2 linked regions of the Alligator mississippiensis genome follow. The protein of the gene in region 1 interacts with the protein of each later gene in a biochemical or structural test. Links are inferred from orthologs where the notes say so. Each region holds a gene or a part of one and is shown in the gene's direction. Other genes may lie near its edges.

Region 1 (7,533 bases):
GATTATGTTATAAACATAGTAAGGAAAGAAGCGTCGAGAATACAGGATTGTTGACAACATTGCTGCAATAGCCCCAGTAGTCATCGTCTTGTTGTTGGAATGCTTGTACATCTACAATCAAATGCAAAACACAAGCAGGTTAAATACTAAAACAATAGTGTATATAGAGTGAATTCTAAAGATTATTTTTACAGAAAGAAATTTTCATACTGTGCTTTATTAAAAAGGAAGCAGATGGACAAAGCAGAAGTTGCGACTGGAATGCATACGATTGCTAAAAATAATCAGTCTAAAAATGAGTTTGTCAAAATTTAAATGTGGTGCATTTCTTTTCTTGCCTAATGTATCAGAAGTTCAGACACCAAATTTGTGTCCTACAAGTTTTGAAAGAACAGATATCATTACCTGGTTATAGTACTGTTAGGGTATTAAAACTAGCTTCAAGATTTGCATATTCAATATTTTTAATTTTACTCAGTTAAAATAGGAAGCATTGCATTACACTGGACACAACCAATGTCAGGAGAACACCCGAATCAAAACTATGACCCTTTTTAATTCACTAGTTACATTTTAAGTTCTTCATTTGGTCACATTATTGCTCTATTACACTTGACTAAGAGTAAGGTTCTTACAATTTTTTTGTTTGTTTTTTTTGTTTGGTTGGGTTTTTTTGGGGTTTTTTTGTTCTTTGTTTTTTGGGTTTTTTGGGTTTTTTTTTGTTTTTTTACATACAAAACATTATTAATATTGTAACTACCTTTAATCTTGCTTCAATAATTTTCGTAAGCGTAAGGCAGTCACCATGAAAACCACTGCATCCAATGACTGTTTGGTCTGTTCTGTAAAATGCAAAGTTTGGAAAATGTTTTAGCGTGCCCCATGACTACAAACTATCATATCACCACTAGCATAAAATCATTTGAAAAACATGGAATATTTGTATACCTAGCTTCCTTTAATGCATTGCATCAGCCTGTTCAGTAGGAATCTGCAGACCCCCAAAATGGAAGCCACTCAGATGAGTGGTTAAAAGTGAAAAATTGTAAAATAGGAGAAAAAAATTCTAATCCCACTTCTGCCAGGTAATTTGATGGGTATGCGATTTAACCAATTTGCCTTACATCCAGATTTACAGATTTTACCAGTGCTTTGAGGTGGAATAGAAAAAAAACTATACAGATACAGGTTTTTAATATTAAACCATTATTAAAAATTAGAGGGAGACAGATACTTCAAACCTAAAAGCATTTACAAACTCAACTATGAAATATACCATTCATAGGATGTCATCTAGACAGCTGTAGAGCACAATTAACTTCAACAATCTAAAGATGAAAATATTGTCTTAATTCATGTTTGTCAGTATTACCAAAGCTACTTATTTCAATACAAGAGATGGTGCCAAGAAAACCTATCTTGATACTACGAGGAAGCTACTGATATGCTAAGGAGCTAGCCAGGAGAAACCTGAACCCCTGAGAACTGTGCCAATGATAGCAGAGGGCTTGCCTCTGTAGCTAGTGGCAGCCTAGAGTGGGAGTGAGGCATTTAAATGCAAGTAACAATAAACTTGCTGAAACCAAGGGGACACTATCCAGCTGCTTTGAAGGAAGCATATGAAGAATGTGAAACAAGTTTGATAATGGAATTGCTGACAGGTTCCCTGATGGTCTCCAGTGAAGTAGACAGCTCTGAAGTGCCAGATGGTCTACTGAAGCAACAGTGAAATAGTGACATACCTGGGGTATAGCCAGCAGTGGTAGCACTTGTGTCCCAACTACCAGGCATCCAGAAGAAACAAAGCCACTTGCTGCAGAGCTAAGCACTGCTACAATTAACTGAATCTTCTCATTGGTATTCATCCAAAAAATAGTCTGTCTACTTAGCTTGTATTTTTAAAATCAAGTCTAATTTGGTATTGAAAAACATCCTTTGTCAGTGAAATTCAAGTATTAGAGTCAAACTAAGAAATATGATCTCAATTATGGCATTACAAGAGAGTACAAATGCAGCCAGATTGCTTTCTTACTGAAACGTCCTTTTGCAAATGAAAATGCTAGTCATTGACCCTCTACAGGTTACTAAGTTAATCAGTGGAACAGATCTTATAAGCAAGTTTTTACTTTGCCCAAGATTAAAACTTACAGTTTGTAGCATTTGGGACTGTCCCGGCTATGAATTGCATAACCTTCACTCAGTCGTGTGTCTGAGGCAACGACAGAAAAGTCTTCTCCAGCAATTGCCAACACGGTCCTTTAAAAAAAAAAAAAAAAAAAAAGTAAATCAATATAGAATTACAATTTCTAACATAAACATTCACTCAACAGAGAGGAAAAGGCACACCAAATGAGTGGTTCTCAGTCTGGTTTGAAAAGATTTGTCAGTGATGGAGCAGCTTTCATTCTACAGGAAGTTCTATTTCTTCCTACATGGCATAAGATTTGTTTTCTTTTTTCATTTTTTAAGAAATGGAACAAAAAGCGCACTGTTGCAGCTCATTTACATCTACATGCTATGTGGGATGTGTGTGTAAATTCAGTTATAATTAAGTTTACAGAAATCAGAGGAATTCAGCAGACTAGCAAGGTGACAGAAGCTTTTGGTGAGCACTGTAACCAGCCTAAAAACTGGCAGTAATTCAACCCTAATAATAGAAAGCCTTACGAATGGCAAGATGAAACAGCCCACAGATACGAGGCAAATCTGTAATTAAGGAGCAATGCTCTCACATTCCCCCCCCCATATTCTTTTCAAATAGCCAACTGTCATAGCTGCTGCATGTGAACTGTGGGCTTATGAACTAGGAAAGCTGCTTGGCACCATCTGCCTTAAAATGCAGTCCAAACTATGAAAATGCTTCTGGACCAGTCAATTACTGGTGCATCAGGCTAAGAACGTAAAGTGCCATGCTGGGTTGGACCAATGGTCCATCTAGCTCAGTACAGCCCCACGTTCTCTGCTCAGTGCCCTCCCTTCAGAAGTCTTGTTATAAACCTGTAACCATCAGTCCTGCCCATTTTCTTTTGAGGTGTCCTGGGTAATCAGCTGCCGTGCCTCTAGTGAACAAGGGAGGCTTATAGTTTTTGCGATGGGCCTAGGCCAACGTTTCCCTTGGCATAGCAAATAGACCTGTCTTCAACAGTGTCAGAAGTGGAAACTAAAGGGGGAGCATCAAACCAGACCTAGTGATCAATCCCCTGTTCATCACCCTCCTTAGCATCTGCCACTCTTGGTTTAGAGACACCAGAGAAAACATCTACCATACCATTCAAAAGCCATTAACTGATCTATCCTCCATGAATGCACCCAGGCCCCTTTTTTGAAAGTGGCTGTGCTACCAGCTCCTACCACCTCCTGTGGGAAGTCAAGGTTCTGGCCAGGGGAATCTCAGGCTGGTGTGAGGTTGTTTCCTCTCACTCATCTGCTCACATCTCTGGGAAGTTTCAGGGGGAAGCTGCAGCCCAGTCTGTTAAGAGCCATGAGTCCTGGATATGGCACAAAGGGACAGAACTGCTCATAAGAGCTGCTATTTCTTCGGTCAGAGCACGGGTCCACTCTCCCCATCTCCTGTGTCACAGGGCGCCTGCTTCAAGCGCACCTGGTCGCTGCCCCTCTTCCACCTCCTCCAGAACCTCCTGCTGAGGGCCTGGCTACACTGCTCCCTGCACCTTTTCTTTCACAGACTTCCCGCCCGCAGTCCCACCACGTCCCGGGACCTCCTGGCCAAACTAGCCATCTGTAAGACCAGGAAGGAGGCTGTGGTCGGGAGAAGCACAGGCAAGTGCGGGGCCACTTCCCTGGCGCTCTTCCGTTCACATCACCACACTGAGTGTCACTGACCGGCGTCCACAGACTCCCTCGACCCCTTCAAGGGGCAGAGGTGCTAGCCAGTGTGCTCGGTTCGGCGTCCACTTCTGATGCCTTAGTTATTAACCTACGACCTCAAAGATTTTGGGGGTCAGAAGGGACTTCAGTAGATCATCCATCCTAACCCCCCGCCCGGCAAACCCTTCACCTCCCCCCCGCGCCTCTTTTCCAAGCGGGGCGGCGCCTCCGCCGCTGGAGGGGACCCCACGCGGCCGGGGACAGGCAGGGGCGGCCGGGGGAGGGGCAGGCAGCCGGGGCGGCTCACCCGCCGTTGAAGGTGTAGGGGGAGAAGCGGTGGCTCGTGGCAGCGCCGAGGCCGCAGTCCCGCCTGAGCCCGGGCTCCGCATAGCCAGCAGCGAACGCAGACGACAGCATCCTGCAGTGCCTCCGATCCAGGCCGTGCCTGCTGTCTCACGGCAAAATGGCAGCACCGGAAGCGGAAGTCCTCCCAGCCTCGCTCTTGAAGACGCTCTAGGTTCCCCCTCCAACTCGTCTGCTCCCAAGGTGGGGAACCACCCCCCTCCACAGCTATAGGGCGGCGTGCGGCGCATGCGCTGAGCTGGCAGGACCTTTTTCCCAAGCATGTCACCCCGGGGGCGGTGTTCCCTAGCTCCGGGAGGAGCCGTGTAGTAGGCTGCTTTGCCCTCTCTCAAGATGGCCGCCGAGCGGGATTCGAGGGGAGGGGGAAATAAAGGCTGCTACGGGCGGAACTGACGCATTTTGATCGCGCGGCGGTGTAGGCTGGGGTTACCATCGGTGCTGCAGCCGACGCTGGGTCCGGGCAGCGGGCGGAGGGCCTAGAGCGGAAGGTACCGGCCTCGCTTCTATTCCCCCTTCGCGCGCGGTGGGGGGCGGAGCCTGCTGATGTCGGGCCCGCGCGGCCCTTCCCCGCCCGCCTGCGGCGCGAGCGCTGGTTCCAAGCGGCCGTTGGCGTCTCCCCCCGCCGGGCGCTGCAGGGCCCTCACCCCGTCCCCCCGTGGAGCCGCTGGGGGAGCGGGGGGGGGGAGCCCAGGGTAACGGTTCTGCCCCCCCACCCCACGCGGGACCCGCGCCTCACGCATCCACGTGGGCACACTCATGCTTCACTTGTTTATAGATTATTATTAAATAAGCAATTATTTATAAGGAAATATTATTAAATTACAAATAATAATTATAGTACTAGGTGAGCAGGTTTTCTCCAGGCTTCCCTGCTGCCAGAAAAGAAACCTGGGAGTTTTCCCCCTCCCCGGCGAAGCGGTTGCTGTAGAAAGCCATACCTGCTTGCACTATGGTGGCCATCATAGAGGACAGTCTGCTTTTCTGTTCCTCCATCCTCTATTGATATGAAACCTGATGCCATAATGTCCTCTATTTTTCTCTTCAAGAGACCCAATGCCTTTCTCTTCAAGGAACCTGACTTCTCTTTCTTGAAGAGAAAAATAGAGGACATAAAGGCATGGGGTTTCATAGCAGTAGAGGACAGAGGACAACCAGACTGTCCCCTATGATGGCCGCCCTAGCCTGCATGCACCCAGCATCTGGCCTCAGAGAGGAGCGGCCTGGTTGCAGCGCACTGGTGTGCTACCAGCGGGCAGGCAGGGCAGTTCGGCAAACCGCTCCTTTCTCGTGGGAGTCGGCTGTTGCAGACTCTCATCTCTTCTTGTCCTCATTGCTGCACATTTGGGTTTCGTAGACTTGCATTTTTTAATAGGATAACGATAATAATAATTATTACTATTATAGTAGCGTGAGAGTGCACAAACACCAGCAGAGTCTCCCCATGCCTGGAGAAGTGCTTGTGCCCAAAAGCTTGCAAAAAACGATCTTTCCAACTATTGGGTTGGTCTAATAAAAGATCACACAGTAAGTTGTAAGAAGAATTGATAAAATATTAATATTGCAGTGATAATCCAGTATTTTACATTGTTGCTAAAGGAACACATCCTAGCATTGAAATTCACTTGAGAGAATAGTGCATTGCCCAAATAACCCTGTCTGCTAGTTTTTCATAACATTTTTTGTGCATCTTCATGGTGAAATGCCTCAGCGCTTTATGCTGGTTCAGGCTGGGGAAGGAGGTTGTTTCCCTGGTCATTTTTTGGGTAACAGGATTTTGCTCTTAAATGACTTCCAACTGCCTGGAACTCGTGAACGCTTTAAAATTATGGTAAGACTTTAAAGATATCCAGGTTGTAATTATGGTAAGACTTTAAACAATTTTAAGCACATTTTGCTGATATATTTGGAAGTCTTCATAAACAGTGGTTCAGTCCTGAAATCACTTGTGTGTGCAGTCCTGCTGAAACCTACGGGTCTGTTCATGTAAGTAAAGCCACTTGTATGGACAGATTTTTAGGGGAAGGGTTGTTTCTATGGCAGCACAGGTGTGTACAAAGAAATGTGTTTAAAAATGTACTTAAGATGCGGCTGAATACATTTTTAAAGGTGCTGTTACCAAGAGTGTTTTCTATCTTTTTCAGGTTTTGAATTGTGTTTTAGATTTGCAACACGTTTTTCTGGAGCTAATGTTTTTAATAATCATTCAGAAGTGGCTGAAAATCTAGTTGCTGGAATGCTTTAGGGGAAACGACTTCTTTATCGTGTGGAATTATTGTTCTTGAATTACTGGAAATAATTCTGGCCTGACCAAAGAAGTAATTGGAATCATGGATCAGAACAACAGCTTGCCGCCCTATGCCCAAGGACTGGCATCACCTCAGGTAAAAATAAGATATTTAAAAAATTTAAGTGCAGGATAAAAGTCTTTGCAGAAAGGATTTCAGTTTCATGTGTAAACAAACATGAATAACTCCATTAGATGCTGACTATATAAATGCTTACAACTACAACAGCTTAGTGTGGTGATCTGCAGTCCCAGGAATATTTGCTTGATGGAAACTTGTTTGAAATTTTAGGCTAAAAGCAAACTGGACTGTCCCTTAGCCTTTTATAGTCAAAACTTAAATGACAATTGACTTGAATTAACTGTGATTATTCTGAGAGACACTGTTAATTTGAATACTTCACAGTTAGTTAATGTAGCACAATGGTTTTGGCAGTAGTCTGTAAAATCTGGGGTTTGTGTCTGGGGTTTGCTGAGAGAGAAAATGCTCAAATCCAAATCAAAACATTCATTTGTTTTTAGCTTTGGTAGCATTTTTAAGTGTCTCCAGTTTCTGATAAAATATTATTTCAGTGTAGTCAGATATTTGCAAAACAAATCCTTAATATTTGTAAGGAAATGCATCTTATGACCCAAAATCTCACTGGCTTTTGTTTTTTTCTAATTGAAATGTATTCGAACAAGGCATTGTGGTATGCATACACTGACACTGAATAATCCTTTCCTGGTTGGTGGAGAAGAGAAAGCATTATCTCTATTTCAGTGGTTCCCAAACTGACAGATTACATACCACCAATTTAAATTTAAAGTACCACCAGCAAATTTTTGTCATATAAAGTCATTATAATAAATCTGTTAATGCTACCACTGACAGGTTGTCTGCGTACCACTGGTAGTACCCATACCACAGATTGGGAACTGCTGTTGTGAGACTTTTTCTGTGAAGTAAAATACACTTTGAGGGATATTAAGTTCTTATTGTTTGGGCTGGTGAATATGCTCAAGCAGACATACTTGTTCCTAAACTCCTTAAACTTCTGTCTGATTTTCCTCCTAAA
Region 2 (7,099 bases), on another chromosome or scaffold:
GTGAGTTTATAGACGGTCACCAGGTCCCCCCTCAGCCTTCTCTTGCGAAGGCTGAACAGGTTCAGGTCCCGTAACCTCTCGATGTAGGGTCTGCCCTGCAGTCCCCGGATCATGCGGGTGGCCCTCTTCTGGACCCTCTCAATGTTGTCCACATCCCTCTTGAAGTGGGGTGCCCAGAACTGGACACAGTACTCCAGCTGCGGCCTGACCAGTGTCGCGTAGAGGAGGAGGATCACCTCCTTGGACCTACTTGAGATGCACCTGTGGATGCACGATAAGGTCCGGTTAGCCCTGCCGACCGTGACCTCACATTGTCAGCCCATGTTCATCTTGGAGTCAATAATGACTCCAAGAACCCTTTCTGCCTCTGTGCTCTCAAGAAGGGAGTTTCCCATCTTATAAGTGTGCTGCTGGTTACTACTGCCCAAGTGCAGCACCCTGCACTTGTCAGTATTGAAACGCATCCTGTTTTTGTTAGCCCACCCCTGCAACCTATCCAGGTCTTTCTGCAGTCTCTCCCTCCCTGCTAATGTGCCCACCTCTCCCCATATTTTGGTATCATCAGCAAATTTGAACAGGTTGTTTTTCACCCCGTCGTCCAAATCGCTGATAAAGAAATTGAACAGTGCAGGCCCAAGGACCGAGCCCTGGGGGACTCTGCTGCCCACTTCCCCCCAGGTCGAATATGACCCATCCACCCACCACCCTCTGAGTACGACCCTTCAGCCAATTTGCAATCCATCTGACTGTGTAGGCATCGATGCCACAGTCACCTAGTTTTTTAATGAGGATGGGGTGGTTGACAATATCAAAGGCCTTGCTGAAGTCCAGAAAGACTACATCCATGGCAACACCTGCATCCAATGCTTTTGTGACCTGATCGTAAAAGGCAATCAGGTTGGTCTGACATGACCTGCTCTTAATGAAACTGTGCTGGTTGCCCTTGAGCATCATCCCCGATGCCGACCCATCACAGATGTGCTCCTTGATGATTTTCTCAAAGAGTTTCCCCAGGGTTGAGGTAAGACTGACAGGCCTATAGTTGCCTGGGTCCTCCCTCCTCCCTTTTTTAAAGATGGGACCACATTGGCTATCTTCCAATCATCTGGCACCTGGCCCGAGCACCACGCGTGCTCGTAAAGCCATGCCAAGGGCCCTGCAATAACCCCTGCTAGCTCCCTCAACACCCTAGGGTGGAGAGCATCTGGACCTGCTGATTTGCTCACCTCCAGTAGGGAAAAGGGCAGGGGAGAACAGGGGTAGAGAGGTGGTTGTAATATCAGAGGGAATGGAGGTGGGAGAGAAGAGAGCACGGGGGCCTGGCAGAGCTCTGGCCCCATCCCAGCCTGGTAGTGGTGGCAGCAGTTCCAGCCCAGGGTCCAGCTCCTGGCCAGAGCTGCTGCTCCAACTGTTGCATTGCAGGGCTGGAGCCCTGCTGGATCTGGAGAATAAACAGTAGTGAGGGAAAGGTGAGGAGCAGGGGCAAAGGCTATGGGGAGCAGATGCCAAGAGATGCAGGCATGGGAGGGCATGTAGTGGGGAGGCAGATGCTGGAGTGTGCTGGTAGCAGAGGGGGCAAGTGCTGGGAGAAACAGGCAGCAGGGTACAAGGTATGGGAGAGGGCAGAGGTCATGTTACTTGACTCCCATTGCCTCCCTCCCCACTGCCTGCTCCCCTGCCACTGCTTTCTCCATTGCAGTGGTGAGGGGGACAAATTTAAGACAAGCTTCCAATAATTAAATTCTATACATAGAATAATAGAAAGTTAGGGTTGGAAGAGACCTAAGGAGGACATTTAGTCCAACCCTCTGCTCAAAGCAGGACCATCCCCAACTAGATCATTCCAGCCAAAGCTTTGTCTAGCCAGTTCTTGAAAACCTCCAAGGATGAAGAGTCCTGCGTCTCTCTGGGTAACCTGTTCATGTTTTACTACCCTCCTCATGAGAAAATTCTTCCCAATATCTAATCTCAACTTCCCTTGCTGCAACTTGAGATTGTTGCTCCTTGTTCTGTCATCTCCTACCACTGAGAATAGTCTAGCTCCATCCTCTTTCAAACCACCCTTCAGGTAGTTGAGGACTGCTATTAAATCCTCCCTGTCTTCTCTTCCCTTCACTAAATAAGCCCAGTTACCTCAGCTTGTCCTGAAAAGTCATGTGCCCTAGCCCCTTCATATTTTTGTTGCCCTTCGCTAGACTCTCTCCCATTTGTTTCTGAGTCCAATGATGTAGCCAGTTTTCTATCCACCTTACAGACCATTCATTCAGCCCATACCTCCTTAGCTTGCCTGCAAGGATGTTGTGGGAAACCACATCAAAAGCCTTGCTAAAATTAAGGTACACCACATCCTTGCATCCACAGAGCCAGTCTGTAGTTCCCTGGATTCTCCTTTTTCCCTTTCTTAAATATGGGCACCATATTTGCCCTTTTCTAATCATCCACAACCTCTCCCCATCTCCATGAGTTTTCAAAGATGATGGCCAGAGGCTCTGCAGTCACACCAGCCAACACCCCTTCGGATGCATCCCTGTCTGGCTCCATTGACTTGTCTATGCCCAGCTTTTCTAAGTAGTCCCTAACCTGTTATTTCACTACTGTTGGCTGCTCACCTTCTCCCAAACTGTGCTGCTTGGTGCAGTAGTCTGGGAGCTGACCTTGCCTGTGAAGACTGAGGCAAAAAAGGCATTGAGTATTTCAGCCTTTTCTGCATCCTCTGTCACTAGGTTGCCTCCCCCATTCAGTAAGGGACCCACACTTTCCCCAGTTTTCCTCTTGTTACCAAAATACTTGCAGACACCCTTCTTGTTACCCTTCACATCTCTTGCTAGCTGCAACTCCAATTGCACTTTGGCCTTCCTGACTTCATGCTCTTATACTCCTCCCTCGTTGTTTGTCCAAGTTTCCACTTCTTATAAGCTTCCTTTTTTGTGATTTTAGTTTACTGGAGTTCTCTGCTAAGCTAAGCTGCTCTTCTGCCATACTTGCTAGTCTTCCTGAACATGGTTTGCTCCTGAACTGTTGGTAAGGTTTCTTTAAAAGTACAGCCAACTCTCCTGAACTCCTCTCCCCCTCAGACTGGCTTCCCAGGAGATCCTGCACATCAGTTCCCTGAACAAGTCGAAGTCTGCTTTTCTGAAGTCCAGGGTCCTTACTCTGCTGCTCTCCATCCTTCCTTTCCTTAGGATCCTGAACTCAATTGTCTCATGGTCTCGTGCTGCCCAACTTGCAATCCACTTAACTACATTCCCACCAATCCTTCCATTTGTGAGCAGCAGGTCAAGAAAAACATGGCCCCTAGTTGGCTACTCCAGCACTTGCACCAGGAAGTTGTCCCCAATACTCTCCAAAAACTTCCTGGCCAGCCTGTGCGCTGCTGTATTGTCCTCCCAGCCGGTGTCAGGGTGATTAAAGTCCCCCATGAGAACCAGAGCCTGTGGTGTGGAAACTTCTGTAATAGTGGGCAGAGCAGCTGTTCCTGTGGTTCTGGTGGTGCTTTGCAGGGACCAGGGCTACCTGCCTTGTCCCCCGCCTCCCCCCGGGACATTCCCAATGTGCCCTGAACAGTCCGAGGGAGTCCTCCGACTGCTCAAAGGGTGGGAGTCGGTGCCATGCTTGAGGAGTCCCAGCAGGATGCATGCAGGGCTGCCTAACCCTTTGCCACTAGGGCAGGCCACGGGCAACCAGGGCCCCCACCGTCATTGCTCATGGGGAGGCGGGGACAGAGATAGAGGGCTGTGGGATGTTGGGATCCCTGCGACCTCAGGAACAGCATGATACAGGTCTTCGAGGCGGGACTAGACAGTAACCTGCCCTCCGGAGTACTTGCTGGTTAGAAGAGCTAATTTTTGGGTGCACGAGCTGGTGTGCCAGTTCAAGAAGAACCCTCCCCCCCCCGACAGCCTGTGCGTCATAAAACCTGCTTCGGCGCCCCGGGAAGACTGCTGGACGCCTGCCCGCAGCCCGCGACCGGCACCTAGCTTCCCGCAGCGGCTGGAGCGCGGCCGCTCCGCCCCTCGACGTCACGGTGGGGGCGGGGCCTTCGTGCTGCCGGTCGCTGTGGTAACCGGGGCCGGCCGGCGCCACTTCCGGGTTCGCCCAGCTCGGGCGCCGCAGAGGCTGGTGGGAGCGGCAGCGGCGGCCAATAGGTGAGCGGCTCCTTGTTAGTCTCTTCGTGTATTCCGCGTCTCTCGCCCCGCGCCGGGGTTCGCGCTTGTTGGTGAGTGCGGGGCGGGGCGGGGCGGGGCGGGGGTTCGCGCCCCCAGTGGAGCTGTTGCCGTTGCTGGCGGCGGGAGGCCGGATCTGCCGCGGAGCCGCTCCGCTCGCGTGCCGCCCTGGGGCCCTCTCCAGTGCGGCAGCGAGTCGGCCCGCCTGGGGCCTCGCAGCCGGCCTGGGAGCTCGGCTGGGCGGAGCGGCGGGGGCCAGCGTCCTTGTGCCGGGGACGTTATTTAGCCGGCAGCCTTCAGCGGGAGCAGAGCAACTCGCTGGGCACCGACAGCCTCTAATAAACGACAGGGCTTCATGGTTTTCACCGCGCGGTCTAGTCAGGAGGCTGAATTGTTTTAACTTGAGACAGGCAGGCAGAATGAATGTCAGTTGGGTTGTAAACGTTCCTTGAGTACAGTCTTCAGAGAAATCGTTGGTTTGTGCCCAGGTCAGCTGAGCGGCTGCCCCTCCTTCAGCGCAGGCAGATCCCTCTCCTCTGTGTCGGGAGGTGAAGCTGCAGCAGTTCTAAAACCAAACCCGGAAAGGCACGTGCCAGTGCCTGGCTTCTCTCAGATGCGTGCTTTAGAAGAAAGGAGCAACTTGCCATGTAAAGGAATTCGGAGCCCCGTATGCCTTGAGGTGCCTCATTGATCTGGTTCACTTTTGTTTCCCCCCGCTCCTGTTTTCTTGTCACAGAATTATGGATCCGAGCCTGCTGAGAGAACGAGAGCTATTCAAAAAAAGAGCCCTTTCTACTCCTGCTGTAGAGAAACGTCCAGTGTCTTCTGATTCTTCATCTTCTAAAAAGAAGAAAGCAAAAGTAGAGCAGGGTGGATCATCAAGCTCAAAACAAAATGCAGGTTGGTAAAGTAGCTCTGGTTTTAGGGTTGGTTTTATTGTTTGGCACCTGTGTGTGTCCCAGTTAATTTGAATGGGTCACTGCTTCCATGATCTTAAGTAGCCCGTCATGCTCTAAAGCAGGGGTGGGCAATTATTTCGAGCAGAGGGCCGCTTGCTGAGTTTTGGCAAGCCATCGAGGGCTGCGTGACAGGCAGCCAAGGGCAGATAAATATTAATTTTCTAAATTTTTTAGGGGCTCTACGGGCCAGATAGAATGGTCTGGCTGGCTGCATCTGGCCCCTGGGCTGCATTTTGCCCACCCCTGCTCTAAAGCAATGGGGCCAAACCTTTTTGGCAGGCAGGCCACAAGTTAAGCCCCACGCCTCCCAAGGTGCCATGTCCAATCCCCTTCCCCTGCTTGATCTGCTGCTCTGCTTTCTGCTATTTCCTGCCCTATTTGTTTCTTTTCATTTGTCTCCCTGCCCTGTGCTCCCTGCCTGATCTGTTGTTCTGCTTTGTTCCTTGCCCTTGTCTTTTGCTATGTTCCCTGGACCCTTTCTGTTCTCCAGCATGCTACGTGCAGAAGTGGCCTGTTGCATGTGTACTGCAGGTTGACCGCCCGTGCTCTGAAGAGCAGTCTCCTACAGTTCTCGCTTAAGCACCTTAGCATGAGACTAGAGTGGAGATTGTGTCAGCTTTTCCCCCCTGTCTTGAGTTGTGTGCCATCCCTGAAATAGCATAAATGCTACTCTGAATTTTTCAGTCAGTTTATGCTTGACCTTGGTGCATGAAGAAGTTCTTGATGCCCATGGCTCTGCAGTGCTCTAGCTCAGTTGTGTTCAACTTTTTTTGCCAGATGAGCAGTGCCCAGTCTGTCCACAGGCCAGATCTGGCTGATGATCCTACTCCAGAGATTGGGGTGGGCGCAGCCCCATTGAGTCCTGCAGGGGTGATCTAGTTCAGATCCAGCCATGCAGGGTGGGAGGTGTGCCCTGGTCCTGCAGGAAGAAGGTGGCATGGCCTGGCCCTGAACCAGTAGTAAAGGGAGAAGGGGCACGGCCCAGTCCCAACCTGCTGCACAGACTTGGGAATTTGGCAGCAGAGGAGTTTGGCAGTATTCATTGCTACTGCTCCACTGCTAGACTTCCTGACCTATGAGGAGCTTTGTGGTCTGGATGGGCCACATCTGGCCTGTGGGCTGGAGGATGGACACCCCTGCCCTAGCTCTTTCTACCAGCTCTGCTACTCCTTTTTGTTGTTTCCCCAACTTTGCAATGTTTCTCTATCTAGGTTTGTATGTCAGAGCCAAGTCTCATAGCATCTAATCCTCATCCTCCACACATGCCACGATGTTGTTTAGCCACATGCACGCATGCACACCTCCCCACAATATACAAGAGTAAGACTTCTTTTTAAGCTATTGTACAATCACCTCTATGTACACTATACAAACACAAGTAAATCAGGACAAAATATTTTTTTGAAATCAGATTAATTAATATTGTAGTAGATGTTTGATTTTTAGAATATAATTTGGTATATTTTGGTTCTGAGATGGCAAACCCCCATGCTGAAAAGAGTATTTCCTTGGGCAATGGGGAGGGACTTATGGTGGCAAAAGTTAGGGGGCAGTACTTCCGGTCCTAAGATGGTGACCAGGGTATGGGGCACCTGTCAAGGGTCAGGGCTACCCAAGCAGTCCTTGACAGCTTGTCAAAACTTGGTAAGCAGCCCTCTGCTTGAAATAATTGCCCGTCCCTATTCTAAGTGCTTCCCAATACTCCAAAAAAAAAAAAAAAAAGTGGGGTGGGGAGGGTGGTGGGGGAGAATTCTCTCCCTTCCCTGTATTTCTTGCTATTTATTTATCTAGTTTAATTTGTCTATTCTTGCTGTTTATCTTGAGTGAAAAATGTAAGCTTGGACAAAGAAAAGGATTTTGAATTTTTTGTATAGTATCTCACTCTTCGTGCCGTGAAATCAGTGATCATTGTTTTGTCTTGGAGTACTTCTTGATCTGTAAACCGGTGAAGGTGCTGTGACCTCCGATGTACCCGCA

What was found.
Region 2: the proteins of TBP (region 1) and GTF2E2 form a complex in vitro, tested with the Homo sapiens proteins (2 studies listed by BioGRID). The link is inferred for Alligator mississippiensis from reciprocal best matches to the Homo sapiens genes TBP and GTF2E2.

Annotation. Positions count from the first base shown.
Region 1 is NC_081824.1:147,741,731-147,749,263, forward strand, and holds the start of TBP (TATA-box-binding protein), read left to right. Parts: upstream 1-4,452; 5' UTR 4,453-4,679; intron 4,680-6,332; 5' UTR 6,333-6,518; coding exon 6,519-6,572; intron 6,573-7,533. Other genes in the region: PSMB1 (proteasome subunit beta type-1), read right to left, coding at 1-111, 761-842, 2,149-2,256, 4,136-4,245. UniProt on the Homo sapiens protein: The TFIID basal transcription factor complex plays a major role in the initiation of RNA polymerase II (Pol II)-dependent transcription.
Region 2 is NC_081825.1:169,002,044-169,009,142, forward strand, and holds the start of GTF2E2 (transcription initiation factor IIE subunit beta), read left to right. Parts: upstream 1-4,072; 5' UTR 4,073-4,145; exon of another isoform or gene 4,146-4,216; intron 4,217-4,899; 5' UTR 4,900-4,903; coding exon 4,904-5,063; intron 5,064-7,099. UniProt on the Homo sapiens protein: Recruits TFIIH to the initiation complex and stimulates the RNA polymerase II C-terminal domain kinase and DNA-dependent ATPase activities of TFIIH. Both TFIIH and TFIIE are required for promoter clearance by RNA polymerase.